Linked DNA regions of Drosophila melanogaster. The protein of the gene in region 1 purifies or fractionates together with the protein of each later gene. This does not show direct contact. Each region holds a gene or a part of one and is shown on either strand. Other genes may lie near its edges. The genes, in order: Cbp20 and Ars2.

The links.
Region 2: the proteins of Cbp20 (region 1) and Ars2 purify together in Drosophila melanogaster (affinity purification with western blotting, with the first as the bait; one study listed by BioGRID). This does not show direct contact.

Annotation. Positions count from the first base shown.
Region 1 is NT_033777.3:18,158,102-18,174,884, forward strand, and holds Cbp20 (cap binding protein 20), read left to right. Parts: upstream 1-6,559; 5' UTR 6,560-6,627; coding exon 6,628-6,675; intron 6,676-6,730; coding exon 6,731-6,948; intron 6,949-7,072; coding exon 7,073-7,271; 3' UTR 7,272-7,338; downstream 7,339-16,783. Other genes in the region: CG14315 (uncharacterized protein), read left to right, coding at 669-1,322; CG7218 (uncharacterized protein), read right to left, coding at 3,708-4,928, 5,003-5,613, 6,003-6,201; Prx5 (peroxiredoxin 5), read right to left, coding at 7,465-7,794, 7,925-8,059, 8,254-8,361; CG7215 (uncharacterized protein), read right to left, coding at 8,626-8,970, 9,030-9,077; wrd (well-rounded), read left to right, coding at 15,184-16,089, 16,439-16,783. UniProt on the Drosophila melanogaster protein: Component of the cap-binding complex (CBC), which binds co-transcriptionally to the 5' cap of pre-mRNAs and is involved in various processes such as pre-mRNA splicing and RNA-mediated gene silencing (RNAi).
Region 2 is NT_033778.4:6,078,690-6,095,793, reverse strand, and holds Ars2 (arsenic resistance protein 2), read left to right. Parts: upstream 1-10,168; 5' UTR 10,169-10,244; intron 10,245-10,357; exon of another isoform or gene 10,358-10,563; 5' UTR 10,564-10,568; coding exon 10,569-10,708; intron 10,709-10,762; coding exon 10,763-10,947; intron 10,948-11,006; coding exon 11,007-11,286; intron 11,287-11,403; coding exon of another isoform or gene 11,404-11,437; exon of another isoform or gene 11,438-11,625; intron 11,626-11,786; coding exon 11,787-11,853; intron 11,854-11,909; coding exon 11,910-13,882; intron 13,883-13,953; coding exon 13,954-14,058; intron 14,059-14,378; coding exon 14,379-14,460; 3' UTR 14,461-14,759; coding exon of another isoform or gene 14,760-14,829; 3' UTR 14,830-14,966; downstream 14,967-17,104. Other genes in the region: EcR (ecdysone receptor), read left to right, coding at 723-1,237, 1,641-1,784, 1,845-1,997, 2,061-3,206; SmydA-5 (SET and MYND domain containing, arthropod-specific, member 5), read left to right, coding at 15,228-15,562, 15,618-16,944.

The DNA.
Region 1 (16,783 bases):
CTTTCCATCCGAGAAAGAAACCGAGGCTACAACAAAAGCGTGTCTTTCGAGTTCGCTAATGGGAACTACATATATGTATGTACATACATATGTACATTCCGGGTACAAAGTGCATTTTGTGGAAACCCTTTGGGCAGAATGTAAACCATTAACAAATTGTAGCAGACCTATGGCCTATACATTTCTTATTTGTTTTAACTGTTTTGACTCTTATAAATGAACATATTTTCAAGAATCTGAATTAAATTGTAAATTAGTAGAATGAAGCTCTTTCGAAACTACCTCGCTTTGCTCCTTCCGTTTGATCATTTGACCATTTTTGACCATTTGCTTTAGGTTATGGCATTTTGTCCATTTCGTATTGGTCATTCGGTTTTGGCCATTAATTTCGTTATATCATTTCGTTTTTGTCTTGCTTTGGTTATTTCGTTTTGGTCTTTCATCTTAGTCAGTTCGTTTTGACCATTCGTTTGGGCCGCTTATGTAGTTTTAGCCAAATCTTTTTGACCAAATTGACTTGAGCTTAGTTCCTGGCTCTACATATTCTGTTATTTTTTTTTTTTTTTAATTTTTGAGCTGGAATTAAAGCGTTTCACTTCAAACATAGTACACCTGTCGCACAGACTTATTGTAGTTAGTTTTGTCAAGCGTTCGAAGCGACTGCAGAAATGAGGGTCTACTTGTATCAAATGCGCCCGGTGCTCTTTCTCTTCTACATGGTGGAGACGACGGCCAACTTATTCGTTTTGTACTACCAACTGAAAGCATTTGTTTTCGTCAATCTGACAACGATGAAATGGGAAGATGTTCTAATCCAAAGCTTTTATATGTCCTTCTTTTACATATTCACAGTGGTAACGCTCTTTGCCAGCATAAATCTCTGCACCGGTCATCGCACATCGATCGTTGAGGAAGTTGTGCGTCCTCTGATCGGATTTGTTCTATATACGGTAATATCGTTGATGGCACTGGGCGATGCCGAGACGGATTTCTATATATGGTATGATGGAAGGAACCCGGATGATTTACTATATCCGGAGAAGCCGCTCCATCCGTTCTTCGGTAGCCTGCGGGACCAGGCGACAGCCTCATTGGTGTCCAGTGTTATCTATCTGCTGCACTGCCTCATTGCGTTGGATGTCCTTCTGTCGAATGACGATTCGGATAACGAACGCGAGTCATCCAATTCCTCCGACGATGTGAACGAAGAGGTCGACTACGTTCCAGTGCGTCTGTACGTCTTTGGCGGCGTGATGCAACGCTGGCTGGAGCAGTTCGACTGGTTTCAGGACTTTACCCACAGTGGAGTCACAGATATCTGATATTTTATCATTAACTTCATTTATACAACTACAAATTACATGATAAACAAAACTTCGCATCGCTTTTCTCGGTGATTATGCAGCCTTTGGATTTTGGTTACATTCGGTGCAAGAAACCCTAATCATCAGCATTCCCATGACGTCAGTGGGAAGCAACAGTTCGGTCTCTGCATCATATAAAGCTCATTGTCGTCAATGTGCCAGTGATAAGCAGCTGGGGCCAAAACATCTACATAAGTACGCGTATCTATAGTATCTATGTATCTTGGTACGAGTATCTGTATCTGCTAGTGCGCAGGTCCAAAGTTAAAGCGAACAATCGATATATGTACTATGATGTTTGGGGCAAAGCGGCAGTCAAGAGCAAGGTGAAGCATTGCCCCGGTGCTCCTGGGTGTGGTGCTTTTTTCATTCATAAAAAAAAACTGGTCCACATGACATGTGGACACATTCAAGGCTATTTCTAGACCAGACCAAGGATGTCCTTATGCCTCTCATAAACTATGCAATATGATTAGAAAGTCTGAATGTTTAGAATTAGTTTTATAAACTCACAAACTTCGGTGGATCAAAAAGTTTGGCCAGGTGAAGCTAATACTATGGCCTACTTTTCGGGGTTATTTTAATAATATGATTATTGCTGCCATGCTTTTGTATAAACAAATCAATTTCACACTCTTATTAAGTAACATTTTTAAGTACTTCCCCTCTTATAAAGCTTGAATTTTCCATACGGAAACCCAATTCAATCTTAAATGCTACAATTTAAATAAAAAATCACATAAATACTCGACTTTAAACAGAAGTCAAACAAAACAGCAATAAATCTGCTCAAAAATCACGCTTAACAAGAAGAAAAAACATATTTTCCGCCCACGCAATAAGCGAATGTGAAAATGTACATAAATGCGAGAGGGAAAATCGATAAGGACGCCATTCCGCAGGAGCGTCGTGTCCTTGAAATCGAAAAAGGGAAAGACCATTCATGAAGTTGGCCGAACTTTTCATGAATGAAAACGGCCAGCGAGGAGAAAAGTTGACACATTTCGGTGAGTTTGCGCACCATAATGTGCGAATTTTCCAAAGGGGAAAATGTTCTCTCTCCAATTTCACTGCGAAAACTTCCCCATTTTTTCCGGCCACTGACGCAACCACAATGCGCTGTTCCAAGGTCAGCGTAAAATTTCATTCATAAAACTGATACGCCCCGCGGCGTAGATATACATGTATATATATCCATGGCGCGTGTAAGTTCCCAGAAGGTGGTCATGGTTGGGGGACAGGAGGTTAGAGCTGGATGTTGGGCGCGGATTTGGGCCTGAGTGAGCACTCCATTTGCAGCTTGTTGATTTTTCTACGCGTGCAAACACAAACAAAGTGGGAAACCATTTCATTCATGAATCCAACTCAGGGGGAGGATTGTGGGGATGCTCCAAACTTCTGATCCCAAAGATTTTTGGGTGGAGCTCGTCCAGAAAACAATTTCGCGCTAAGCTGAAAGCAATTTTCGCCCCTAGGAATTTGTGGTAAACTTAGTTTAGCTTGGCTTTCATTCAGCTGGGAGTCAAATCTTGCTAACTTGAAAATGTTAAAGGTTATTGGTTAAATGATGCGTATTTGTAAAATAAATGAAATTGTTGTGTACGTCACATAGATTTTATGTTTTAAATTCCGTTCAGTTAGATTCGATTTTTGCCAAGTTGAAAAGTATTTATTACACAATCTGATGGTAACGTGTCGTATGAGTAATATTTTTACATAACATCGCCAAGTTTTTGTCCTTTGCCTGTATTTAAGCCACCTGTATCCACAATTTACAAGATTTCCCAGCAGTCTGACCACGAAAAGTCCTCCTGGTTACATGGTCATCCGTGGACATATCATTGACATACCAAAGTTGAATCCATTAAAAAATATAAGTTATTTGTCATAAATAAATAATCGAAACTGTTTAATATTGTATTTCTTATAGAATGTTATGTACAATAGCAAAGTTAACTTTCTACTATTATTCCATAGTGAACTAAATAAGTTTATAAAATGGATCACCCCACCTAGTGGTAACAAATAGTTTGGACAAAAGCTATTGAGTGTTTTTATTTTGCAAGGGCTCGGAAACAGCCAAAATGTGACATCGCAATAAACGAATTTATAAAGTTCATAGAAATACCATGGTACCACACACCATCTTAAGGATATTGAGGCACAGTTCGATATTCCAGGGCGAACATAATTTTGGCTACGATCTAAAGTACATTTTTCAAATCCAGTTCTCCACTTATACTTATACGAAAAAGAGCAACTAAGCGCCGCCTAAAAGATCAAACAATGCAACTACGTATAGGATAAAATCAAATATAATAATAAATTAGCATCGATTTATGGCTACAGCTGTGTCGTTTGGTTGCCTCCCGCAATACCAGCAGCTCCGCCCTTCTCCACCATGCTGGGCATGCCCGGCTCCGATTCGGAACGCTTGTGCGTTCGCTTGGGCAATCGCTGGGTGGCCTTCTTAGCCTTGGCACTTGTCACTCCGTCGCCGGAATTGTTGAGCAGCATCAAATCCGGTTGGCTGCGCACCAGGTCCTGCTCCTGGTAAACCTCCTGGACGGCTGAACTGGTATTGGTGTTGGTCACCTGCTCGTTGAGGCAAACATCGTCCAAATCCACATCGCTGTTGGAGAAGAGAGCTGTGGCGCCCAGTTCCAGGGAGTTGGTCACGTCCAGCTCCTGCTCACTGACCGCCTTCTTTGGCGTGGATGTGGATGCGATTGAGGTGCGCGAGAAATTCTTACTCACATCGAGATGGCCAGCACTGGGCGGGGTCAACAGTGTGGTCACTTGGGCTGGCTTCGAGCCAATGCTAATGCTGTTGTTATTGTTGTTATTATTATTATTGTGATTCTGTCCGCCCGTCGCAGCCGCTGAGACAGGAGCAGCTGCGCCTATGACCGGCACATTGGTCATGCTACTCGGTGTAGAACTGTTGCGCTCGGTCTGATGTTCCTTCATTAGCTTGCAGGCCTTGCCCAGCGCACAGATGGTCAGGCAAATGCGCAAGCCCATGGCAAACAAGTAGGCCAGCAGGAAGAGCAGCCAGGCGGCTAGATTCTCGAAAGAGACCGCTGTATAGATGGCCTTTATCAGGACCACAGCCAGCGGAAATGGAATGAAGCCCATGCGTCTGGCCACCAAATCCGAATGATCTGAGAATGCGTGCTTTTGCCGCGTCTGGGTCATATCGTAGGCCAAGCTGGTCGTGTACTCCCTGTAGATGCTCTCCGGCAGCTCATTGAATCGCGTGATAAACGCATGCTTCACCCAATCGATCAGAATTTCCGTGAACAGCACGGCAAAGCAGTCGGGCAGCATTACACAGAACTGGGTGATGCTCCAGTCAAACTCCTTCATGGTCTGGATGACCACAATGAACAGAAGCACAGACAGATGGAATCGCTCTCGTACATCGCTGCAGGTCAATTGGAACAGGTTGTTTTTGTCGAACTTCTTGAACACGGATCCCTTGAGCTCCACGAAATTATTCGATATCATGATGGTCAGCAGGCCCTTGTTGTTGGAGTTCACCGCCACATTCAAACAGGTGGCCTGAAGGAATAGTTTAGAAACCAAACCAATATAATCACAGAGAAAATGTGGTTTATAAAGCTACCATTACTCACCTGAAACATGATCAGTCCGCTGTGCAAGAAGACATAGATTAGCGTGAAGAGAACGTGCGTAAGCACTCCAAAGTGCTCTCGCTTGGAATTCTTTGGTTCTGTCGCCGTCCAGAAGAGAGCATCGATCGTGTCCTGACCAAAAGCGGACAACAGCCGGTCGCCCACCTCCAGCATGTTGTAGAATATGTACAGCTTGATGATCGACTGTGACTTGATGATGTGGTACACCCGATTCGTGTCCACCAGGAGCATTATCAGCGTCACCGTCATCCAGATGACGCCCTTCAGCAGATCACAGATCTCCGCCGGCGATAGCAGCCTTTGTCCGCTGCTGCGTAGTCGAAAGATTCTTGCCACCGTCCTGGAAACTAGGGCCCAAACGGCCATCACAAATCGGACGGGCAGAAAAGTGTGAATGTAGAGAAATGAGTCGGCGCACTGCATGATCCCGTACACCATGAATCGCTCCAGATCCCGCGGTATGCGCATGAAGCTGTAGATCTTCTGCCTACGCGCCGAATAGCGCTCCTCGTCGTGCTCCAGCATATAGCCGCGTGTCATCTCCACTTTGAAGAAGTCGTAGAATGTGTTTGTGCAGGTTTCGGCGGTTCCTGCAAAAATAAAAGAAAAATGAATGATAAGTATGAATCAAATATAAAGTATATGCATAGATTCTAATGATTTAAGTAAAATAGATAACGATTGATTACAAATCATTGATTATACATCCTTATCCTTAGTTAAAACAACTTCAAAAATTGCAAATTATGATATATTAGGTTTTTAAGAGCTTTATCTGGAATTTAAGTTAATTAAAAATCTCTCTAGAACTTTAAATATAGCATCAAATCTAAGGCAAATGTGTATGTTATGATCAAAAGTAAAGTTGCTATGAAATAGCGCGAAACCCAATTAAAATTAGTTAACGTAAATGTCATCCTAAGAACTAAATAATAATAATTCAAAAGAATGTTTTTCCAATCAGTAAATCCGTGTTTACCGCTCTGCAGTCGCTGCTGCGCTGAGCCCGCTGCCGGCGTCGCAGTCGGCGTCGCTGCAACGTCATCCTGGGCGAGCGGCGCCTTTTGCTTCTGCTCCTCCTGCTGCTGATGATGCAGTTCCTCCACTCGGCTGCCGGTGACGTCGCCGCGAAAGCGCAGCTGACGCTTGCCGCCCGCGGAATTGAGTGTGGCGTTCATTAAGTACGGTGTGCGGAGTCCATAAAATTAACAATAACAACGAGCTACAAAATTTCGGGGTGAAACAGCAGTTATATGAAAATGTACTAACGCGTGCCGAAAATACCCAAACGTAAACAGTGTGTGTATCGAATGTACAGAACTATCGCCTAAAGTAACAGCTTAGTTTATATTATATTAACATGGTTAATATTTGCAATGATTTTTATTCTAAGCTTAAAGAATAAGTTCCCGTTAGGGCCATGAGAGAAATTGATATATAAGTATACAACGAATTTTAAAATAATATATTTTTGCTACCCAGTAAACTTTTTATGCACTAGCTCACCGATTCATATTTCAAAGTGCTATCGAAGTATCAGTCAATAGAGTGCCGTCACTAAATAAAAGCAGAGAAAATATTTCAATAGTTTGTAGCTGAAAAATATGTTCGCATCTGTGGAATTAAGCTCATATCGCGATCAGCACTTCAAGGTGAGTACATCCGAAGGCGCCACAGCAGATCTCCGACTCAATAAACCAATTGCAGGGCTCGCGCTCCGAGCAAGAGCGATCGCTCCGCGACTCGTGTACACTTTACGTGGGAAACTTGAGCTTCTACACCACCGAGGAGCAGATCCACGAGCTCTTCTCCCGCTGCGGCGATGTTCGTGTGATTGTGATGGGCCTGGACAAGTATAAGAAGACGCCCTGCGGCTTCTGCTTCGTGGAGTACTATGTCCGATCGGAGGCGGAGGCGGCCATGAGGTGAGCCATATCCATCTCTCCACGCTAGAAAAAGCCGCCTTTTTTCCGGCATTTGTAGAAGTAATCAGATGGGGTATCATTATCTCTTAACTAACTTCAACACTCTTTTCTTCTCCCACAAAAGATTTGTGAATGGCACTCGCTTGGACGACCGTCTGATTCGTGTGGACTGGGACGCCGGCTTCGTGGAGGGCAGGCAGTATGGACGCGGCAAAACCGGCGGACAGGTGCGAGATGAATACCGCACGGATTACGATGCCGGCCGCGGGGGTTATGGCAAACTGTTGTCACAGAAGATTGCACCCAACACGGACAATCGCTAGTTATTAGATAAAATGACTGTAAAGACTATAAGCCCCCCAATTAGATATTAAAGCATACCCCTTAGACATAACATCTCTAATCGCATATATATTGTACGTTTTACATAGTTCTTTTGAAGACGTAATTGATATCATTGCGGCCTAGCATTAGCATGTATGAGTTTCTAGTGTTTTCGGGCTGACTGGATTCCATTTACTTCTTGCCAATGTTGTTGGCCAGCGAGCAGCTGAGTCCGGTGCCATCGGGCTCGACATTCAGCTCGGTCACCTTGCCGTTCTCCACCACCAGCGAGTAGCGCTTTGAGCGCACGCCGCCAAGTGGTGGCAGATCGATGGTCACATCCAGGGCCTTGGTGAAACCGCCGGCGGGATCAGCTAGGAGGCGCACCTTGCCCGCGGCTCCGTGCTCCTTGCCCCAGGCGGACATCACAAAGGGATCGTTGACCGAAACGCAGACAATCTCGTCCACGCCCTGCTTGGACTTCAGCTCATCGGCGGAGCTCACATAGCCGGGCAAGTGGGTCTGTGGGTGTGGGGAAATGCATTATTCAGTTGGAATACATAAGCTGCATAAATTACACTATACTGCTGGAAGTTTCTACAATATTCGGAAACTCAAAGCAGATGACTTTGCAACTATGCTACCTACGCACCTTTGAGCAGCCTGGAGTGAAGGCGCCGGGAACGCCGAAGATGATCACCTTCTTGCCATTGACGAGATCGCCGGTGTTGATTTTGTTGGCTGGCGAGTCCTCGAACAGATCCACCGATGGCAGGGAGTCTCCTACCTGGAAATAAAGTGGGAGGCAGACAGGCGTACTTAGAGAAAAGAGGCAGCAAGATGGAGGCGATAACCTTGAAACGCTGTAATTTCTGGGTGCCGCCGCAATCAATATTTATGCAGCTCGGCACCGGCTTATGTAATGGAATCCGGACTGCCGCACAGCCGGAAATCCGCGTTTGCCGGTCAACCTGCACTTACTTTCACCATAGCTGCACTGGTTTTGGACAGGGATCGCAGTGAAATGATTTGTTGGGGCAGCGCGGAGTTAACAACTCGGCCAAGAAATTTGCACGACAGCACACGCATTTCTCCTCTCTTTCTTCTTCTCACACACACAGGCACGCACGCACACAGCCAAAGACTGCAACTGGCCGGTGGAGCGTTGCCAGACCGTCGCAAAAAAGAATATGGGCCGTGTGTTTTCAGTCAAGTCTTAATTTTTACTACCTCATATTTTTTAGTTAGTTTGTTTTTTTAAAGGGGGGAAATAAAAATATTATGCTGTAAGGATAGACTTCCATCATATTTTTGGAGGGGGTGGTGGTGGTTGGTATTGGGTCTTCAATGGCGCTATGTGGCCGCTCTGTTGACTATGCTGTCCGCCAGTCTCTCCAGGTCGTCCAGGCTCTGCTCGTTGATTTTCCGCTCGAAGTCGGCCATAAACTCATTGGTCATACGCTCAGCTAGGGGCTCCGAATAGTGCTTGCGGAATCCCCGCAGGATGCTGTCCCTTAAACAGGGCTTTATCACCACCAGATTGAGTTTGGTGCCCTCCTTGATGTTGGGATATGACGCAATTGTCTGTTCATTGTTAAGCGGTCGCCCCAACAGCAGTAGCTTTTGATTTGTAGCCGATATCTGCAGTTCCGCCTCGATCTGGTGTTTCACCTCCAGAATCGTCGATGTCGGCGCCACCTGTGTGAAATATTACCATATTAGCGACCTCACTTGATTTTGGCAAGGTTCATTCTTACCTCGATGGTGCAGTCCTTGCCCTTCAGCACCTTGATTGTTATCTGCATAGCAATTGCCGTAAAATTTATTAAAAAATTAAAAGTCAAACTCGAGAAGTCGAGCGATATAAACAATCTGTCTTTGGCGTTGCCACCTGTATTGCCACCAAGTGTCATTAGGCCAAGCGGCCCTGGTTTGTAAAACAAGTGCCGCAATATTTGCTAATATATAATTTACAAAAATATTTCCTTATATTAATATATAGTACATATATATGATTCTTGTAAATTGCCAAATGTTATTTAAAATTATTAATATTTTAATGCAGCTAGCACAAATTATGTACAAGCTATCGAAAACCACTCGAAGTTATTATTTTACAAAATTAAAGAATAATGTGAGATCAACAATTAAATAACAGTTTGTAAACATTCGGTTTATTATAATTAATAATGATCTTTAAGTCTTTCGCATTTGGCAATAAGACAGTAGAGGAGAGTAAGGTATAAAGATAGTAAATATAAATAAGTAAATAGCATAAGCAAAAGCTCGTTTTAGCTTTTAAACGGAGTCGGTAAAATCTTCCTAAAAGTAACTATCGAGGGTCGGCTGGGTCAGGCAACGCCGCCGCACGCCTGCAGCCCTGGTAACTCTATTTTCTATTGAGCACCGACAACGTTGCGTGTATAAGACAGTTTACATAAATTATTATTTACAATTGCACAGAGCGTTGATGTTGTGCGTTCTAAGCGAAAAGGTGAACTTGACCCCGGTGCCGATAGACCGCCGAGCTATTGGGTGTGAAATTCGCGAGCGAGCCTTGTGGAATTCGCACGCGAAAATCGAAGCGAATCGCAGCGATCGAAGAAATTGCAGCGCAAATAATTCGTGTAGCCTCGACGACTGAATTTTAACGCGAGAGCGGGGTGTGCGTGTGTGTGTGTGCGCTGTGCTGTGATTCTGTGTGCGTGTGCAAGCGTTTTTGTTAGAATTCGCATTTTACGCAAAGAACTAGCTTTTATCAGCAGTGAACTTGATGTTGGCGAACCTATATCGCAGCAGGGCCAAATTGAACAAGTTCTTGCAGCTTCTGGCGGTAAATTGGCGAAATAAGACCCATTAAAAACCCCCCTCTGAAAATATAACCCACAAATTAACCTCGCCCCTTGACATTCAAAGTTATATTTGTTTCCCCACTTATATATGTGCACATATATATATATAAATATATATATATTTAATAATAATTGTGTGTTTGAGTCTTGGAAGTGCAACTACAACTATTAATCGTGCCTAGTACACATTTTACTTTTACGCTCTCGACTGTCTCCGTCTCTCTCCCTCTCTGTTTCACCCCTTCCTTGCAACAACAAAACTTATGAGTACTTGCTGGGTGCCCCAACAATACTTGTGTTGATGATTGCCCATCCTTGCACCTCCAAAAAGAAATGAAAAAAAAATTTGAAAAACACCAACACCACCCAAAAGCGCTCTTCCTTCCCCATTTCTATTGGCATGTCTGGCAACCCTGGCAATTGGTCGACGGCCATTGCTTCTCAACTTGTTGCTCGTCTCGCTTGCTCTCCTCTCTCTCTCTACTCTCTTTTCAAGTACGCTCTCTCTGCGCCAGTGTTTTGGCATTTTTGTTACTTATTTTCGTTTCGAGTATAGTTTTATGCGAAATGAACAATGCCAAACAATGAAACGCCTGAAGACCTGCATAAAGTGTTGATGCTAACATTTAAATGGGAATCCGAAATTCCACATCACCGACAACACCTGTCCACTTGGAAGTTACAGCACTAATCGGAGGAACGCTGCATGAACGTGTTTTCGGTACCGTTTAGAACCGGATTTTCTATGCTAGAGAATGAGAATATGATCGCGGTTCTGTGGGGACATCTTGTGACAACTTAGGAACTCCGATACGAAGCGGTTTTCCGCCATTAAGGCATTTCCAATTGGAAAGCGCGCAGCGAGAGATTCTTAAAGGTTGCTCCGTTTCCCATTGGTAATGTGTTGTTTACAGTTATGGTTAAGTTAATAGCAGCGTGTTTATGTAATATATAGATAATTCGAGTTATGCACGTTCCACTGTACAGTGATCAAAGGGAAAAGAAACAGTATTGGAATTTCCATGAAGTTGCATAACAAATGAGGAATAGTAGTGATGAGAAGATTCGTGGTAGATTTCAGTAAACCCTTAATTTACGTTGAGCGCCCCTCGAATGCGAATGTTAATGCGTGTGTGTGTGTGTGTGTGTCTGCTTGAGTGTGTTGTTTTGTGGCTTAATTGCACGGTGTGTTGTGATGCTATTGTTATTTTTCCTTTAGTTATTGCTACGTTAATTTTTTTCTTTCGACCCTCCACAGTGCAAATATAATTTTCAGATAGCAATCAACTGAGAGCGGTCCAGCCCGGCCTGTTGTATTTGTTTGTTTGTCCGGTTGTTTACGTTTTTTTCTCTCGTTCTCGCTGCTTTTCATACGTATTTTATATTTTGTAAAAATAAAAAATCGTTATAAAAAACCAAAAACACACATAGAGGAGAGCACATCCAAAGAGCCAAAAAGAGTCAGAACCGATTGCGTATTATGGATAACGAGGCGTTAGATCCAACAATAAAAAGCAGTACGTCGGCAGCGACGCCAACAGCAGCAGCATCAGAAACGACAACAACAGCAGCATCTTCAGTTGTGGAAACCACAACAACAATCGCGGCGGCCACAGCCTCAGCGGCAGAATCAAAAAACGAAACAACGGCCACAAACAACAATAGCAACACAAGCGGCAGCATCAGCAGTAGTAGCAGCAACAATATAGTCATACCGGCATCGGCCACTAACGGTATCAAAGAGAGTAACAGTAACTTAAGTACAACAACAACAGCAGCAGCAGTAGCGGCAGCAACAACTGTAGAAGGAGTAGCTCCAGCAATAACGTCCACAATCGTGGTGACCGGCGGCACTCCTCCATTGAGCAGTTTGGTGAGTAGCTCTCCCCCAAAACACTAGCCCTCCCCACCACACTCCCTCACTCACTCTCTTTCTCTTGCTGTCTTTAAGCCACAGTCTCTCTCTGTTTCTGTTACGATCTCTCCCTGTCTTTCACTTGTCGCCCTATTTGCATGCCTACCGTTATTTTGGCGTAACGTAAACCTCACTCGTAATGCTTACACGCACACTGTGCATTTGTGTGTGTGCCTAAGCCTTATCTTATCTAATCAGTGCTAATGATGTGTGTTATTGTATCGCTGCTTCACCTTACCCCGCACGATTCAAGTTAGATTGACCAACACCAATTAGATTCACAATGTTGCCAATTGTTAAATGAGTGTATGTCGTTCGGATAACAAATCGAATCGTAATTGTATCGCAAGTGCTTGACAAACCGATATTCACTTTCCCCCTTTTCCTCATCTCCAATTTGACCAATTCGTTAGTCCTTAGAGAGATAAACTTATTAGATTTTAATTTTTTTAATTTTAAAAAATGATTTTTTAATTAATTTCATAAGTTTTTTTATACGAAATATGATGCATTTAATTATTTCTTTAAATAGAGGAAATACTCTTTATTTAACAAACGATATAAATAGCATTTAATGACCTTGTAAGTGGTAACAGTAATCTAGCAATCTTTATTGCTTTTCAATTTTGGTTTACAAATCGTTATCGTTTCAATTATATTACCTTGGGTTCTACTTTCTGATAAGACTTTTGCGATTGAATGAATAGATTGCCCTAAATCCTAGATTTTATACGATTTCCCGAAAGTTTTGTGTCAACAAAAGACGGAGTTGATTATACAAATCTTTATACTCACATGCCTGTTATTAACTAGAAGAACTTTTAATGAAAATTTTTTACATTTTTGTCTCTCCAACGACAAAAATATTGAACATTTGCAATAAAACATAAAGTATAAGGCGAGCACTTTGCTTTTTGAAACTGCCAAAAAATTGCCCAATGAAATGCTTTAAAAAATACATAAATGTTAGTGCCTGGAAAATATATACATATATGCCACCACCTGATTCCCTGGTAGATGCCAGCAATATAATCCTATACGTGTATGGAGAGCCTACGGAACTCCAGCTTCCTGATCCCAGAGCACATTTCAATGTTCGGCATTACTAAACTCAGACTAAAACACACCCACAGGCAGCTCAACTTAGGCGTCAAGGATTCGCACAGTCCAAGGTAAAAGCGATGGCCGGCCAAAATGGCAGCGAGGGACCATCCCGAACTGAACTGCTTTGCTCTGATTTTGCAAGTGCTACGTTTTGAGTATGCTTTTTATTTGACCGCATATTGCTTTGCATTCGTTGTTAAAATTATTTTCATTTACTAAGCATAAGCCAAACCGTTGACATGGGAAAAGATAATCAGATAAGTGTCATTTATGCCCCTTTGCAGGCTAACAAACTCAAGGACAACACACCACCGTACGATGCACCGCCGCCCACGCCGATCAGCAAGGTCCTGAACATCACCGGCACCCCGATCGTTCGCAAGGAGAAGCGCCAGACCAGCGCCCGGTACAATGCCTCCAAGAACTGCGAACTGACGGCCCTCATTCCGCTAAACGAGAGTGAGTAGCCTTGGAGTAGATCCTACTACTTAGTATATTACTTTATAATACATGTACTGCCAGCTGTTCAGATCGATATCTCTTAAGCCTGCAGATCGGTTGCATGGGGTAGAACTTGGTCGTAGCCATGTCGTAGCATACATTTTAGGGCAGGGTTCCGTTTAGGCGATATAAAATTACCTTTCTTACTGTCTACCAACATCGTCAATTAAGTTTTTATGCAACTATACACTCAAAACAGATTGTATAAATCGTAGTAATTCCCATTAACGATGCATAATTACATATATTATGTCAATTAACTCCGGTAAATTTCCATGATTATAAGTTCAGCTTTAACTTACAAGAGGCATTCTCTGTAAAGTGTACCTACGACCTGCAAGCTTGTTGGGAATATTGATTGGCCGGCGCTTGATTAATTTCGCTCAGCTGTTGTAATTTGTTTATTATTTGTTAAAGTTAAAGGTCAAGGGAGTGTCGTCTGATTAGGTGGGTGGCAACACTGACGCACGGCCACTCACACATGTGAACCAAGCAGCCGCATCAATTCACACCTCTCTCCACCTCTCTCACTCACCGGAATTTCAACACATGCGCTCTCTCCGCAGCCTCTCATTACACTGGGAGAAAGCATCGTTAGAGGATTTCTCAGACCGTCTTAAATTTCATATATACACCGGCATTTCTTTATGACACAAATGTATTCGATTGATTTAAACTTGTGTATACAAATAATTAGAAAAACTGTATCCTGCAGGGAATTAATTTAAAAAAAAGCAAATTCAATATTTTTGAAAATCATATATGTACATATCTGCGCGTAATGATTATGAAATTGCTACACTTTTTTTTTCTGTGCAGCATGAATGTCATCGCATTGCGTTATTCACATACCTTTCTGCTAATTGCTTGGGCGGTTTCGACTCACAAATCGAATAAACAAATTTCGCTTGTTCAATACTATTTTATTTTATTAGGTTTTATTGTTATTGTGGCTCGCTCGCCCACCAGCCCACTTTCTCTCTCTTTATTTTCTCTCTGTCTGCTGCTCACCAAATTTCTCTCCATTTCATTCTCTCTCGATATCGATTTTTCCGATTGGCGCAGCAGTCGAAGCAACAAAAAAAAAACCGTTTCAAGACCGTGAACGTCGTGTGCCCCGAAAACTTTAATATTAGTTGAAAATATTCGTTTCCCAAGTTAATTGCTCTCCTATCCTATTCCCTCATTTGTTCCCATTCGAACCGTAAGTTTTTCCACGTAATTATGGCCATTTGTGAGGCAAAAGAAGAATTTTAGCAGAGGCGTTGTCATTTCCATTTTCATTTCCAATTGCATTTCATTTCGTTTTGTGTTACCATCAGCGCATAATCGCATTTGGCGTTAATCTAAACCATTATCTATATTGCAATTCCATTACAGATTCTATAGTTTCATACTTAGCGTGCCCAAATTGAGTTTCTAGTGTAGTCTTTCTCATGTGTTGTTGTTGGTCGGCGGGGGCGGCTGGTAAAAAAAACAAGCGTTCCGTATCAAGATTAAAACCGAGTGCCATTTGCTCCAAGTGCCGGCACTAATGAGATGGTCTTCGGTGCTATGTTGCTGACGGGCAACGGGCTCAAAGGTCCCAAACAGCAGCAACAGCAACATCAGCAGGAGCCGCAGCAGCAGCAGCAGCAATCGCAACAGCAGCAGCAAGAGCAAAAGAAACCGGCGCCCATTAAATCCTCCAGCAAGGAGCAGGAAACGCAGCCCATTGCAGCCGGGTATTATGCCCTCGGCATACGCATACCCAAATCTCCATCGTTTCACAGCGGCCTAGATCAGCTGGCCGACGACGAGTTGGACGATCAGGTGCAGGATCAGCAGCAGGAGCAGCAACAGACCGGCAGCCGATTCAGGTTTAGCAGCGTGGAGGAGCTAAAGGCCAAGTTCGAGGGGCGGAAAACGCCCCTCTCACCGCCAGAGGCAGCAGCAGGAGGAGCAGCCGGATCCGGAGCACCCACCACATCCTCCTCACCATCGTCCTCGTCCACCAGCTCCAATTCGTCGGCCTCGGCCCTGTCCTCGCTTTCACAGGCGGCCTCATCCTCGCTAGCCTCGGCGGCTGCTAACTCCTCGGCCTCATCCTCGGCCGCCACATACGGTGGTGGAGCGAATTCGGCTGCAGCTGCACTGATTGCCTCCTCGCCATTTGGATCGCAGTCCTCCACTTCTTCGCTCTCGCTATCCTCGAATGCCGGCATGTCGAAGAACGCGGCAGGAGCAGGATCTGGATCTGGATCTGGAACAACGTCAACGGGCGCTGCTAGCGGCAGCAATTCACTTGTGTCCACTTTGGCACAACATTTCTCGGCGGCCACATCCGCCGCAGCATCGGCGGCAGCCGCTGCGGCATCCTCTGCCTCGGCGGCGTCCTCCTCGTCAGCTTCCTCCTCATCCACCGCCACCAACAACGCAGCCAGCAGCTCCATCGCCGCCAGCAAGGTTTGCAGCTTGGTCTTGTCCACATACACACACACCCAGCGATCTGAAAACCCAAAACATAACCACATCACCACCTCCAAGTACAAACCACAAATTTTACACTTTCTTCCAAACTTTCACTAATTGTGTTAGCTTTTTGGATAACGATAACTAAGTTTCAAAGAAAAAAATAACAATTCAAGTACCTTGTTAATCAAAGTTTTATTTACATTGTACGCTAGAAGCTAATACATTTAGTAGCATCTCACACACTATCCACCAACACTAACTCCATCCCAATTGAACAAACCGAAATTTGATAAACCAAAACCATACTCTGCTCTCATTTCATCGCTTCCTCATCATCCAGTCACCTGTGAGCGCGGCCGCGGCCATAAAGAACATACTGAATGCCACCAAGAGTGTGGGTACTAGTGCTGCGGCGGCGGCAGCAGCGGCGGCCACCTCCTCCTCATCATCCCCATCCTCTGCGGCGGCTGTGCCGTCGTCCGCCGCCACCGCCGTCGCCGCTGTTCCCACCACCAGCGATGTGCCCGCAGAGGAGATGCGTCCGACGGTGGCCCAGAATCTGGTGGGCGGCATTAGCATCTCATTGGGAATTGGCCAGCGCAATGGCGGCGCAGCACCTGCGTCATCAGCAGTAATGGTGACACCTAACGCCACCATGGTGGTGACCACATCGAGCCTAAGCATC
Region 2 (17,104 bases), on another chromosome or scaffold:
GCTGTGGCGGTTTTTGTTGCAGTTGCAATAACAGCACGTACATAAATATGCGCTACAAACTGCCTCCGATGCATTTCCCTTCTGGGGAGTCCTGAAAGCGTGACTTTCGTCACAATCTATGCCATTTAAAAGTACTCAATTCTCACAAAGTTCCTCCCTAGGACGATCGATTATTTGATCTATTAAAAAAGATACGAAGGATTAATAATAACACGCCAGGATTTGAAATTTATAATTAAGTTGGTATAATGCTTATATTGGTATTTAACTTGTGACCTTTTCCTATTTGGTAGTAGAACAACTGTGTATTATGTTGTAAAATTAGATCGTTGGATCCTTTCAAAATTTACAATATAACTTCCGTTCCCTGTAGGCCTTTATTTATCTATTCTTCTGTCCAACCATTCATTTGGTTGGTTTTGGGTGGCGGGAATAATTTCGTTGACTTTGAGCGACAACGTTAATTGAATTTTAAATTTCCGACGGGGACAATGGCGGAGGTGGGCGTTCCCAAACTGCGTTTGCCAGTTATCAGATACAGCAGAGCTGATTAGTAAGCAAACGAGTTCCAGTTAGATCTGGAGCTTGCAAAACATGCAAATGGCGGAGAACATAGAACTCCTCGAGAGAAAATTTATTTATTTAGGTCTTATGTTTAATGGATCGTCGCTAAAGAAACCCCATAATAAATAAGGTTTGTTTCCCCTTCTTTTTGTGGACAGGTCGCGATGATCTCTCGCCTTCGAGCAGCTTGAACGGATACTCGGCGAACGAAAGCTGCGATGCGAAGAAGAGCAAGAAGGGACCTGCGCCACGGGTGCAAGAGGAGCTGTGCCTGGTTTGCGGCGACAGGGCCTCCGGCTACCACTACAACGCCCTCACCTGTGAGGGCTGCAAGGGGTTCTTTCGACGCAGCGTTACGAAGAGCGCCGTCTACTGCTGCAAGTTCGGGCGCGCCTGCGAAATGGACATGTACATGAGGCGAAAGTGTCAGGAGTGCCGCCTGAAAAAGTGCCTGGCCGTGGGTATGCGGCCGGAATGCGTCGTCCCGGAGAACCAATGTGCGATGAAGCGGCGCGAAAAGAAGGCCCAGAAGGAGAAGGACAAAATGACCACTTCGCCGAGCTCTCAGCATGGCGGCAATGGCAGCTTGGCCTCTGGTGGCGGCCAAGACTTTGTTAAGAAGGAGATTCTTGACCTTATGACATGCGAGCCGCCCCAGCATGCCACTATTCCGGTAGGGGTCCATATTAATCATATCAATAAAAAAAAAAATAAAGATCCAAGATCAAAGTATATGCTGTTGGGATGAAAATAGTATAGTCCCAAGATTAAGAGTTATTTATGAAATATGAAAGTAATGTAATACAAGTCTTAAAGTATAGTGGTAACACTATATTATTATAATAATAATCTAACATAGATATAGTCAATAGTCTATAGTAATTCTAATGAAGAATCGTAATCGCGGAAGCAAGGAGCCGAACAGAACAATAAGAGTAATGATATAGTATTATAATAGAAATAAAATATTAGTATAATAGTAATGTAGTTCTAACAAGAAATTCGATTTTTTTAGACTCCGCTCATATTTGTCAAGCAGAATTCCACTTACCCATACTTTTTAATTTCCGGTACAGCTACTACCTGATGAAATATTGGCCAAGTGTCAAGCGCGCAATATACCTTCCTTAACGTACAATCAGTTGGCCGTTATATACAAGTTAATTTGGTACCAGGATGGCTATGAGCAGCCATCTGAAGAGGATCTCAGGCGTATAATGGTGGGTTAGATCGAAATTAACTATATAAATAGAATCTAAATTGATTTCTATGCCTTGCAGAGTCAACCCGATGAGAACGAGAGCCAAACGGACGTCAGCTTTCGGCATATAACCGAGATAACCATACTCACGGTCCAGTTGATTGTTGAGTTTGCTAAAGGTCTACCAGCGTTTACAAAGATACCCCAGGAGGACCAGATCACGTTACTAAAGGTGAGTAGAATCGAAATCACTGGGTACAACCGAAAAGACTATAACTAAACCCATCAACGTTAGGCCTGCTCGTCGGAGGTGATGATGCTGCGTATGGCACGACGCTATGACCACAGCTCGGACTCAATATTCTTCGCGAATAATAGATCATATACGCGGGATTCTTACAAAATGGCCGGAATGGCTGATAACATTGAAGACCTGCTGCATTTCTGCCGCCAAATGTTCTCGATGAAGGTGGACAACGTCGAATACGCGCTTCTCACTGCCATTGTGATCTTCTCGGACCGGCCGGGCCTGGAGAAGGCCCAACTAGTCGAAGCGATCCAGAGCTACTACATCGACACGCTACGCATTTATATACTCAACCGCCACTGCGGCGACTCAATGAGCCTCGTCTTCTACGCAAAGCTGCTCTCGATCCTCACCGAGCTGCGTACGCTGGGCAACCAGAACGCCGAGATGTGTTTCTCACTAAAGCTCAAAAACCGCAAACTGCCCAAGTTCCTCGAGGAGATCTGGGACGTTCATGCCATCCCGCCATCGGTCCAGTCGCACCTTCAGATTACCCAGGAGGAGAACGAGCGTCTCGAGCGGGCTGAGCGTATGCGGGCATCGGTTGGGGGCGCCATTACCGCCGGCATTGATTGCGACTCTGCCTCCACTTCGGCGGCGGCAGCCGCGGCCCAGCATCAGCCTCAGCCTCAGCCCCAGCCCCAACCCTCCTCCCTGACCCAGAACGATTCCCAGCACCAGACACAGCCGCAGCTACAACCTCAGCTACCACCTCAGCTGCAAGGTCAACTGCAACCCCAGCTCCAACCACAGCTTCAGACGCAACTCCAGCCACAGATTCAACCACAGCCACAGCTCCTTCCCGTCTCCGCTCCCGTGCCCGCCTCCGTAACCGCACCTGGTTCCTTGTCCGCGGTCAGTACGAGCAGCGAATACATGGGCGGAAGTGCGGCCATAGGACCCATCACGCCGGCAACCACCAGCAGTATCACGGCTGCCGTTACCGCTAGCTCCACCACATCAGCGGTACCGATGGGCAACGGAGTTGGAGTCGGTGTTGGGGTGGGCGGCAACGTCAGCATGTATGCGAACGCCCAGACGGCGATGGCCTTGATGGGTGTAGCCCTGCATTCGCACCAAGAGCAGCTTATCGGGGGAGTGGCGGTTAAGTCGGAGCACTCGACGACTGCATAGCAGGCGCAGAGTCAGCTCCACCAACATCACCACCACAACATCGACGTCCTGCTGGAGTAGAAAGCGCAGCTGAACCCACACAGACATAGGGGAAATGGGGAAGTTCTCTCCAGAGAGTTCGAGCCGAACTAAATAGTAAAAAGTGAATAATTAATGGACAAGCGTAAAATGCAGTTATTTAGTCTTAAGCCTGCAAATATTACCTATTATTCATACAAATTAACATATAATACAGCCTATTAACAATTACGCTAAAGCTTAATTGAAAAAGCTTCAACAACAATTGGACAAACGCGTTGAGGAACCGGGAGAAAATTTAAGAAAAAAAAAACCATTGAAAATTATGAAATTTAGTATACATTTTTTTTGGGTGGATGTATGTCGCATCAGACTCACGATCAATTCTCGAATTTTGTTAACTAAATTGATCCTCCAAACTGCATGCGAAACAGATCAGAAAAGAGAACAGACAGTAGGGCGTGAACAGAGGGAAGAGAGAAGAGAATAAAGATTGTTTATATTTAAAAAATATATAAAATAATAATTACTAACTCTAAACGTAATGAAAGCAACTGTATAATATCTAACTATAACTATAAATTCGTACTGTAGGGAAGTGAGAAAATCTGTTAAATGAAACAAAAATAATGATAATAACATTATCATCCACCATAATTAAAATCATTTAAAGTAATTAAAAACAAAACACTTTTAAAACACGCAAAACTTGGACTGATTTTATAAATATTTTTTAATCATAAAGAAAGGCAACCTGAAAAAAATATTACAAAAACAAATAACAACATATTTTATTATGACACCCTTATATGTTTTCAAAACGAGAATTTAAATTCTTAGATTCTTATAATTTCATCCAAAAATATTAGCCAGCAAAAACCTTTATTATTGGCATTGTTTTTAGACATGTTTTCAAAAAAAACTTTGATATTGAAACTAAACAAAGGATAATGAAATGAAAGTGATTGGAGTCTTACTCAAAAACCAAAAGGCATCAAAAGGTATTAAATTAAAAATATAATCTAATTTCGAGTTCAAGAAACACTTTTTGGTGGAAAATAGTTTTCAATCACTTTGATAAAAACCACACAAATTAATAAATACATGCATACACCAAAAGACTTCAATATATATTTTTAAAATTTACATTGATAATTCGAAATTTGAATAAGAATCACATCCATCTAATTTGGCTAAATCAAAATTTTTATGAAAGCCACACAAAAAACGTGCAAATTTGATTACTTTGGCAATTTTTATGTTATACAAAATTTATGCAATTGATTTTCAAAATAATTTTTATTAGATTGTATTAGTTTCATTTTGCTTTGGGATGTACATTTTAAATAAATTTTACTTTAAATTGTTGGCCTTATTTTAACTTAAATCAAATTTATTCTAATTTTAGTAAAAAAAAATGTGTTTAAAATTGAAAATAAGAACACTGTAAAATATTAATAAAAAATTAAAGTTTAAAGTGATTCTTTTATTATGTAAAAAGAAGACAAAAAATATCTTACGTAGCTTTCTACTTGAATTGTGCAATTTTTTACTTTTACTACTAATCCTAATTTAAATATAATTTACACACACGCCTACACATCCAGCCACATATTTTTAATTTTAAGTCAACCTAATTTATAAATATGAATTTGTATAATGACGAACTAAAATTAGCATGACATCATGGACATACTTGGAAATAACTCTATCAAACGAGCTAAATGCATTGAAGAAGAAAATTCTTGTTAAATATAGTCTGCACTTCGACAAACGAAAATCAGTGAATTATTTATTCATATTACAAAGACGTTCGTGGGAAGCTCCAAGGGAATCCATGGACTATCCAGGCTCATTAAACTCTTTATTAGTTTCGTTTTTACAATAGGCCTTAGTTAAATTCCTTCTAGCATGCATATTCAAGTACGTTCAATTATTATTATACAAATATACAAAGTTACTTTTATACATACCTTGTTTTGTAGTTCTACACGTAATGTAAAGAAACAAACTATCGAAATACGGATTATTTTTACCTTTTTACCTTATTTCTGCAAGTGGAAAAGAGAAAGCAAGAAAAATGTATACAATATATGAGAAGTATGTTGAAACAAAAATAAGAAAACAAAAAAATATTCAAAAACATAAACCAAAACCTCAGTGTTTTTATTTTCTCAATCCATTTTTGTTATTTCCGTTTGATTTTCGATGGCTAGGGAAAGGATACGAAATAATGGGGTGCGAGTGAAAGACTTATGAGGTAGAAATTCAGAATTTGAACAAAATTTTGCATACGATACAGATGCAAATGGCTGTGAAATTGGCGAGGAACAAAAGGAAGAGATCAAAGCATGAAAATGAATTAAGCAGTTGCCTATATTGTCGAAATTTGGTTTATGATTTATTTCAGTTGGATTATGGATGAAATGCAAGTAAGCTATTTAATAGCCTTCAAGCGTACTGTTTAAGTACCACTAGAGTTTACTAAGGACACGAATGTGGCAGGGAGCGAATGACTTTCCACATATTCCATTCGATTTGCAATTTCGGACCCAAGTCGAGTGTTATATTTAGTGTAAGTGAAGTTTAATAAATACTCTCAATTGACCCTCCCAAAATCTTTCAAATATTATAATAGCACGCCTAAGACTTTGTACATATGCATATATTAATACATATATATATTTATAGCTCTGGCTCTGTAAGATTGAAAACAAAAAATGCGAACAACCAAAATACAAATAATGCAACCTGATGAATTACGAAAATACAAGATTGTATGGTATAAAATAGCAATTTGTTGACAGATTCATTCATATAAAAAGATTAAGAAACAACAAACACACAAAGCTAAAGCTGAAACGTAAGAAAATCGTTATGTAGATTTTTGAAATTCAATGTGTTTAATTTTTATGCACTGTTTTCTGTTATGTGTAAACTCGTAACTTGTTTTGCCCCAATACCTAGACCTAACTATGTAGAACCCACGACCACGACCGTGTACACACCCTGTAACCCTAAGAGAAATTGATTGACACTCATACTCGTACACTTACAAGCATTTTGTGTTCAACTTGTAGATATTGATCCTGAATTGAAAAACTACCTCAAGCAAAACAAATGATGATTAAGCAGAAGGGCAACAGATGTTGGGTGATGGAAAGGTTTTAAGCATTATAAAAATAAATGTAACTACAAGCGAGACCTTAGCAGCAGAGCATGAGCAGGAAAAGAACAAAGTATATACACTCAAGAAAGCTATTATTTCTCTTATACGAATTTGTTTCCATCGCACTTTTAGCCCACGATGACTTCGTTTTGAACTTAGAACGCACAAGCCTTGTTAAAGCTACCTGGTTTGCCGCTCATAATTGCCTAGCTTTAGGCGTTATCAGAACTACGTATGTATAATCGGCGACGTTAAACTTCAGTTTTACTTCTTTCCATTATCATAACCCAAGCTGGACAAAAAGAGAAAGCTTTTTAAATCGATTTGAGTTAAATAGCTGAGTTTTTCTCACTGCCAAACCGAAAATGAGATATAATACCAAGTAGTTTGACTAAGTTATCGAACCGCAGCCATTTTCAAACTTAGCGTAAAAAAGGGGAGAAACCATAAGTCTAATTTCATTTGCAATGTCTAGCAATCAGTAATATAATTCTAAATTGTACCATTAATACCCACGAAATATATACAATTATAACAACCACTTCAAGATACGATTTCGAGTATATCTTTAAGTCAGTACCTATACGTATATTGATTGACAACGCACACAATTGCTAGACACAGATCTTAGCGAGTAAAATCATTTTTTCCGGAAATAGAGATTTTAAAAAACAAATAAAAAACTGAAAACTGAATTGATGGCATTTTAGTGTAACGAGAAATACAAAAGAAAGTCGATAATCTAATCAGCAAAGTTACAATATTGTGAAAAAAGCCCATTACACCGCAGATACGTAGAAAAAAATAGTAAATTAATTGGTGATTTGACAGATCGCCTAGAAATAGTTTTCTATTTCACTCGCATTATTATTTACATGCTACACTGCCAGAAAACTTTTACTTCACCTTTTACATTAAGCAGCAGTAAGTCGATTAGCAAATTGCAAATTCAAATCGAAAGCAATTCGAATTGCAAATCGAAAGCAAATTTGTTTCAAAAACTTTCCATGTCTCGCATATTCCTTATGTTGCCGTATATCGATTTTGATAAAGAGAGAGAAGTAGAGATTGTTAGCATTTAAATAAACTAGCAGTGAATCGTGCTTTTCTAATTTGAATGGACTTCACATTAAATACACCAGAATGGTAAAAACTCCATATGCAATACATACGGTGCATGGAAATAAAGCTACATGCACCTACATACTTACATAAATGGATAAACCTGATATTATATTTAAAATTCTGATTAATTTAAAGGTATGTAATGCTCTAACGATGTTACGTCATACACACTTTTATACTTTAAAATTAAAGCATTATGTTAAGTTGGTGGACATAAGTAAGACAGCTAATATTGTCGATTATATGCAGTTAGTTGTCGAGTAGGATATTTTTGAGGATCAGGCCAATTGTCAAAAGTTTAATCTAAAAGTAAGGGCGCAAAGATTACATTTTTAATACTAATTTCTTAATCAATACATTAATTTAGAACTAGATACACATACAATTTGCATAGTTGTATAATTAAGTTGTAAATATATATATATATATATATATATATAAACATAAATCTAACAGAAGTCTATATATACGATATATGAAAAGTGTAATAAAATAAAAACGATATATTTAAATAACTTGTTTTAGTTGGGTATTTAAACAGGTTGTTCAAGGAGTAAATGGTAAAATATCATCCTCAAATAATATTAGCATACAGAAGAATGCGCTTATTTAATATATATGTTAATATATTTTTCAGCATGAACTATAGCAACGTATGTCTTTCACTTTCCACCTTTCAGTCCACCTTTTTATCCGTTCAGTCTGTCCGCATGAACGCCAATATTTCGAAACTATAAGTTAAAAGGCTTTTGATTCTAGTGACACCTATGCTGATCCATCCATTTATCCATGTAAATCTATCCATCTATTTCCATATAAAGACACCTAAGTCCCTGTATGATTAATGACGTCAGAGATTCGCAACTTACATGCACATACACACATAGGCACCAAATTGAACTATTATTTCGTTATTGCATTCGTGCAGGTACATTGGCATCTGAGCAACTCACAAGAAACTAACCGGTGAATCAGAAGACTATGGTAGAAGACTACTATACTATAAAAAATGACGATGATAAAATTCAGCTTTTTGTTAACATATATAGGCTTAAGCAAAAATTTAGCATTAGTGGAGTTTTGTCGCTTTTAATTGATAACTACTTGATATTCGGTATGCCATACCGCATTTATCATTACTTTACACCAATACATACAATATTGTTTTTATATTTTATTAAAAGCGAAAAAATGCTTAGTTTACGTAACGTCAAATATGTATAAGTTCTAAGGTTACTTTGTTGTTCAATTTTTTAAATTGTTTATTATTTATTACTTCACCTGTTACATTTCGCAGCAGTAAGTCGATAAGCAAATCGCTTCTTTATTTCAAAAACTTTCAATTTCTCGCATATATATTTTATTGCCGTGGAGTTATGTCGCTTTCATTTTACTATTTTACTATTCTATTTTATACTATACCATCTTCTATTGTTAGTAATTTATCAGGTTGCACTATTTGTATTTGGTTGTTCGCTAGAGCTATAAATATATATGTAAATGTATGTATTATATATTCTTGTATAAAACTAAACAATTGAACATTACACACTTTTTATAAGTATGCATTTTTGTATGCACATTCATTTAAAATTTTTAATTAGATAAAACTATATGCCATTACGACAAATATGTTACAAAAAAATAGGCTCTGTTACAGTTAAGCCTGGTTTTTAGTTATATAAAGTACATGTGGTTATTTACTACTATTAGTTTGGTAAATATGAAAGTTTATTTAAGCAAAAAACATTGTAATATTTCCTATTTTTAACAAATGTTTAATAACTGGAATGTCAATCAATCAATGTGTCTATTTAATGTTCTGACAATTTTACTTTAACTTCTTACTTATATAGAAAATTCACAAAGTTGTTATTCAATTTAATGTTTCGGGATGAAATATATATATTTTACCTAGGTTCCTATACTATTTAACACAAATAGTGCACTGGGTTACTTTTTACAAAGACACTAGAATAATAATAATAATAATAATAATAATAATAATAATAATATTCTAGAGTCTTTGCTTTTTACCTATACTACGGTTGTGTTTTCGATCGATTGACACGGCAAGTTCTGAACTACATGGGAATGTTTGGTTCGCTCTTGATTCGAGTATTCTGAGCATGATTCGATCTTGGAAAGATTTTGAGATCAAAATTCTTAAATCGAGATCGTTGAGAACGGATTTTTCTCTGAGTGTTGAGCAATTAATACGGTTGAGACAAAGGCACTAGAATAAAATAGTGTCTAGAATAATTCTAGTGTCTTTGGTAAAGAGAAGGCAAACCCCAAGAAAAATATATAAGAAGAGTTACTCGGAATGTGGAAGGTTGGTTGACGGAGAAATTTGGAACGGCGACAATTGTCGCCGACAATCAACTAAATTTTGGATTGTCTTTTTTTTAAACAGGTATATTCTCAATTGGATTATGCCGAGTTTACTTTTATGATTTTGATCATTGCCATGTTGGAAGGTGGATAGGTAACAAGTTACAGTTCCTTGAAGACTTATGGGACCAACAGTCCAGCCACCTACGGGTTAATCAACACGGGGATAATGTGTGGAAACATTTATCGATAATTTTACAAATTAGAGGGATATAAAACAATTTGGTATATTTTCATTTCATACCTGGAAGGTATATTGCGTTGCACAAAAGCGGTCACACTAATTGATAGACGCAAAGTTTTAAGTAAAATTTGGGTTTAGTTAGGCAAAGGTAATTAAAAATGATAAAGGAGCGAAAAATGTAACAAAAAATGCCGATATGTTGTATTCTACGCTCTTTTATCGATTTTTTAAAATGCATTTCTCATTGTCCATTCGATGAAACACGTAAGCGGTTGTAAGCAAACTGACAAGATGGCGGCCACATCTGCTTAATTGAAAATCGAAATTAAATACGATATAACTAGCCTGCCGACCCAAATTGCAAACGGTTTGGAGCTGTTGTAATCATAATATTTGAAGCCCTTACCGGCACATAAGTGAGGTTAAGCACAAGCGACTTTCATCTATATTACTTGCCTTCGTTGCAGACCAAATGGGTGATTCCGACGATGAGTACGACCGCAAGCGACGGGACAAATTCCGCGGGGAGCGCGAGAGTTACCGTACGGAACGCCGGGATGACCGCCGGCCGGTGGGCGGCTCTGCCGGTGCCCGCGACGAGTGGGCGGAGCGGTAAGTGAAGGTCACCTTTCAACTATTACATGACATCATTACTGGACGTTTCAGCAATCCGTTCAGGGGCGGAGCTTCCGCAGGCGGAGGAGGAGCTCGCCACAGACCAGACTACAGCGACTACCGTGGCCCGGGAGCTAGACCACGCTATGGGTCACCCGTCCGTGATTTGCCCCCAGCCAAGCGTATGCGCCCGGACTGGGGGGACGGCGATGTGCGCGCCAATCCCCGCTTTGGGGGTGAGTTCTACTAGACTCCAGGCTTTTCAGACTGCTTATCGAATTCTCTTTCTATAAAGGCTATGATCCGTATTTGATGCAGGCCTGGAACGACCACTACCAGTCGATGCATTCGGCCTACTCCCACGGTGGCCATGCACCACCTGTTCGGGAGTCCATAGGCGGCGGCGGAGGCGACACCCTTACCCAACCAGCCATGCTCAACCTGAAGCAGTTTCTCGACACCCAGGACGAGAACATTTCTGACTCGGAAGTGATGCGCAAATACACCGAGTATAAAACAGACTTCAAGCGCCAGCAGCTAAACGAGTTTTTCGTGGCCCACAAGGATGAGGAATGGTTAGTAGCTGGCCAAAAGTGGATCAACGACGGTTTTGTTGATATCTCTGCTTGTGCCGGCGCATTGCGTTATTTGCCGTTCTTCTGTTCGCCACTCATAACTTTCTATATATTAAGTTTTTCCCTGCAGCTTATTGGGTTTGTGAGATAAAAACTTCTCTGAGAGATTCTGCGCCATAGCAGAGCTGTTGATTGAGTATAATTCATTAATTACCCGGCGAGCAATGCCGAGGTGTGTTCATATTTCAAAACCGCGATTTATTTAAATTCGATTGACGAACAAAAGCCTAAATAAATATAAAACAATCCCATAAATAACGAAAGCGATAAGCTTGCAAGGTAAGATTTTGGGTGATAATTCAACAACAACCTATCTAAACAGGTGAACAATTTACCGAATCCACTATCAACAGCCGGGCGAAAAAGAAAGAGAGATGAAATTAAAACAAGGATTTTAATTACTGCAATATTAATAACCATACTATTTTTTTTAACTGCAGGTTCAAAAACAAATACCATCCAGAGGACAGTGTTAAACGCAGCGAGGAACAGCGGGGCTTCCTTCAGGTTTAATTGTTTGCTTCCCTTACCGCAGAAACCGTAACCAAACTTACTTATTGCAGAGGCGCACTGATGTCTTCATGGAGTTACTCGAGAACGGAACAATAGGAAGTGTGAAGGTGGATTCTTCTCAGGCTGATGCTCTGATCCGTGTTTTAGATACATGCGTTATAAAGCTGGAAGGCGGCACTGATGAGGACCTCAAAGTTTTAGACGAAAAACCCAAGGATCCAGTAGTGTACGAACGAAAGGCGGAGCAGATGCAATCCGTCAAGGAGGTGGAGAAAACAATTAACAGTCCCAAAGAGGAGATGAGTGAGGCAGATCCGGTGTCGACACAACGGAAACCTGTGAGGCCTGTTAATTCTGATGGGGAGAACTGGGATGATGACGATGCAGAAAATTCGGCGCCAAAAAAAGAATTGGCCGAGGATTCAAAAGACAGCGATTCCAAGCCTGAAGACAAACAGTTGAACAAGAAAAAGACAAAAAAACGCAAACGCAACAGCAGCGATGATGACAGCTCCTCATCCGAATCCAGTTCTAGCTCAGATGAAGAGAAACTTAAGGAAAAGTATGATGTGGAAGATGGCCTTAGGGCCGAACAAAAAACCGAGGCAGAGAAGGACAGACAAGAAGCGACCAAAGCAAAACAGGGACCTCAAAGTCCCAAACTGGACGAGGACGAAGGTAATGAAAATACTGAGCCCAAAGGACTAGACTCAAAAATCAATACTTACGAGGAGATTGACAATACTTTGAAGTCACCTGAAATATCTTCGAATCCAATTAAGAACACGGATAATGGAGACGGCAGCAAAGTAGAAGAGGATGGAGAGAAGCCCTCTGTTGGTAAAGACAAGGTTGTCGAAACCGAGACTATTGATCTAGACAAAGTAAAGGATGGCCAGCCTAGGGCTCTGCATAGGACCTCCTCCATCTTTCTGCGAAACTTAGCCCCCTCGATAACTAGATCAGAGATCGAGGCCGTGTGTAACCGTTTTTCCGGCTACTTAAGGGTGGCCATTGCAGACCCCTTGGTGGAGCGTCGTTGGTATCGTAGGGGTTGGATAACCTTCATGCGAGACGTCAACATTAAAGAGATTTGCTGGGGTCTAAACAATCAGCGACTGAGAGACTGTGAAATGGGAGCTATCGTCAATCGGGACCTCAGCCGACGGGTACGTCCAGCCAATGGTATAACTGCGCACAAGCAAGTAGTGCGATCAGACATTAAACTGTGTGCCAAGATTGCTTTGAATCTGGATGAGAAGTTCAGATTATGGGCAGAGGGGCCTAAAGATGATTCCAATTCCGCCCGAGCGAACGAGTCCTCTGAAAATGGCAGCGGATCCACGTATGGCTTCAATTCACAAAACCCGGTTCTGCAAAACATCACTGATTACCTTATCGAAGAGGCGTCAGCTGAGGAAGAAGAGCTTCTCGGCCTTACCGGCGAAAACAAGGACACTGAGGGCGAGCCCATTGAGCGTGACGAACAACTTATATCCGTTCTTGATCGCCTTGTGCTTTACTTGCGTATAGTGCACTCAGTAGACTATTACAACCATTGTGAGTATCCATATGAAGACGAGATGCCCAACCGCTGCGGCATTATCCATGCCCGCGGTCCACCTCCTGTTCGGGTGACCAACAACGACGTGCAAGAGTATATCAAGATATACGAAAGCAAGTTGCAACAGTTTCTTACTAAGACTGTGCCACTGAGTGACGAAGAGATTAAGAATCTTGGAGCCAAGGACGCCGAAACGGAGGTGGAAAAGTTTGTGCAAGCGAACACTCAGGAGTTAGCCAAAGACAAATGGTTGTGCCCCCTATCGGGTAAGAAGTTTAAGGGGCCCGAGTTCATCCGCAAGCACATCTTCAACAAGCACGAGGAAAAGGTCGACGAGGTGCGCAAGGAGGTGCAATACTTTAACAACTATCTACGCGATCCTAAGCGTCCGCAACTTCCCGAACATCCAGGCACCTCTAAGCGTCCAGAATCGGAATCTGCTCGTGGAGGTGGTGGAGGGTGAGTAAAACATTTATTCCCGTTGCACAACAAATAAGGGTAATTATTTAATTTTGTTTCCAAAATGTTAGATACCGACCGCCCATGTATCCACCTTTTTCGGCAATGCCCTATGGTTTTGGTCCACCCATGATGGGTGGTGGCCGTGGAGGACGCAACTTCCCTCCCGCGCGCAGGTTAGTACTATACATAAATTTCTATAGTGTAGATGTGCAATTCTCGGCAGTCATTCCCGACATTTTTGAATAGATAAATTTAAATTTTATTGATCGATTTGTCCAAGAATCGAAGACGATCTTTCCTTGGAGTGCTAAAGAGAAACGTGCCGAACACATGATTCCACTTTCCACTACAGCGGATAATACAGTTCCGACGAACATACTCGAACACTGATAGCATTTAGGAGACTCTATCTTGCCCTTTTTTTTACTTTTTCTCTTTTGTTGGCCTAAATTGAAATTTGTCACAACTTTCTTGTGTCGCAAATTTTTTGCAGAGAATTGCCTTTGGAACACCAGCGCCGGCTTATCGGTTACCATGATTTGGATGCGCCTGCCAATTCTGATATGTTTGACTAATTGATTAGCACAATACAAATAAAAACAGGCCATATTGATGCAGCTTATATCGGTTGGCGAGCTCAAGTTTTAAATGCAATTCAAGCAATGCTAGGAAAAGTATCTACTGCATATAAAGATGGTTTATATACGACTAATGATATCTGTTTTCCTGTACAATGCTAGAACCTACCTTTATTGCCCAAAATAAATGAAAATCCATAGCCTAAAAGAAAACATTGTAATATTTTGTATCTCTGCCCTATCCATAGTCTTGCGTGAATAATTCCAATATCTATATTCATTCTCGTTGCTTGCAGACCCGGTGGTTTTGATTATCGACCCAGATCACACTACCGGGACTTGGACGCGCCGCAAGAACCATACTAGAACTAGCTGTGCGGAGAACACAAGCTAGATAAATTGTATCAAATTAACTGATAAACACTCAAACACTCTCTTAATTTTCGCCTGTTTTGTACGGTCAACTTTTGTATTCCACAAGGAAATAAAGTGCGAAAAAAAGCTTTTTGCTGAGTTTTTATTGGGTTCTATTGTTTTTCCCTTTGTAAACAGAGAGCGCGTAGTATAACGTACGGCAATGTCTAAACGAGATACACTTAAACACATAAGTTCTCTTGGCTAGCCCCGAAAGACTGGCATTTGGAGAAACGAGCTAAAAATAAGAACGCAATCGCCGGCGTGCTGAGATCAGAACGTCAAAAAGAAAATATCCCTTGCCAACGTAACATTGTGGTGCAGTTGGTCCCAGTGGACCAGGAGAATAAATGGTGTCAAGCACGGAATGTCCTGTTTGCGGAGTTGCTGCCTCACAAGCGTGCACTAGGTGCAAAATGGTGCGATACTGCGACCGAGAGCACCAGAAGCAGCACTGGCCGCAGCACAAGCGCAGATGTAGGCCATTCAGCGAGGAGCAGGATGCCGAGCTGGGCAGATATTTGAAGGTTACCCAGAACATAGCAGCCGGGCAAATAGTCTTCATTGAGGAGCCCCTAGTGGTGGGTCCCAAGTGGTATCTCTCCGACGCAGACAAGGAGGCCTCTAACGTTCCGTGTGTAGGCTGTTACACTCCGTGCCGTCTGGGGAAGCACCAGTGTCGAAGGTGAAATATACTAATAAACATAGTCTATCATCCATTTGAACAATGTGATTTCCAGATGCCGTTGGCCAGTCTGCAGCGCAGGCTGCAAGCACGAGTCAATGGAATGCAGCGTGCTTAGCCTCGGATCGGGTTCACCAACTCGGGCAGATGCCCGCTCATTGAACGACTACTTCAGGGGCGATGCTCTTTTGGTGCTCAAATGCCTTCTGTTGCAGCGACAGAGTCCCACGAAATGGTCCGCGTTGTTAGAGATGCAGTCTCATGAGGAGGAGCGTAAGGGCACCGATCTGTACGAGGAAGCAGAGAAGCGAGTAGTGACCTACCTTCAAAAGCGGTTTTTATGTAGACTTAAGCAAACTAATCCAAACCTTCTGACCGATTGTGGACCAGAGATGCTGCATCGGCTTTGCGGCATCATCGAAACAAACTTTATGGTTATCGAACTCCCGAGTGGCGTGGAACTCAGCGGGTTGTTCCGGCAGGCCTGCATGATGGAGCATGCTTGTCAGCCCAACTGCGACTTTCAGTTTGATAACAAGACTCAGCAAGTTGCTGTGCGTGCTGGCTGTGACTTGCGAAAAGGCGACCACCTACGGATTACATACACAAATATCCTATGGGGCACGCAACTTCGCCAGCACCATCTTCGACTAACGAAGCATTTCAGCTGCCGCTGCAGCCGCTGTCTCGATCCAACGGAATATGGCACCTATATAAGTGCGCTGACTTGTCTGGGGGATGTAAATCAGACCTGTGGAGGAACCCACTTGCCCGTGGATCCACTGGACGAGAACACACAGTGGAAGTGCGACACTTGCCCAATGATAGTGGATGGAGCTTACGTGGCTGAACTGCAGTCCCACATGACCGAGCAGGTGGAGGGCTTATTAGCCGGATGCCCCTCCGCGAATCAGGTGGAACTTCTGTTGGCCCGCCTGACCCATATGTTGCATCCAAATCATTTTCACACGTTCAACCTAAAGCACACATTAATCCAGCTGTATGGTAACGAAGCTGGCTTGGAGTTGGGCGTGCTGAGCAACACGCAGCTGGAGCGCAAACTGAGGCTCTGCGGTGAGCTCTACAACGTATGCCGGCGACTGGATCCATATAGCATTAAGCTGGCTATCTATGTCACGGTCATCCTGATCGAGGTCGCCCACACGCTGCAGGAGCAGGCACGAAGGGCACCAGCAGAAGGAACTTCCCTCTTGGGTCTTGCGCAAAGCCGTCTTAGGGAAGCGCATATGGTTTTGGAGAAAGAGCAAGAATCAGTTGCCGGCAAAAAGCTAAACGAAAAATTGCAGATGGAAATCTTCGAGTGCGAAAAACTAATTTTAGCTCTTGCCTATAATCAAGATCACGAAGCCAATACAAAATAATTTTCTAGATCGGCGAAAGTGGTACAAGTGAACATTTTGAACACCGGATGCTGTTAGGTGCTGTTAAAACAAATCACACTTTGTTAAAATCCAATGAAGCGCCGTTCAAAAGAAATTGTAAAACGAGACTAGGAATCTTTTCAAAATACACATTTTTGTT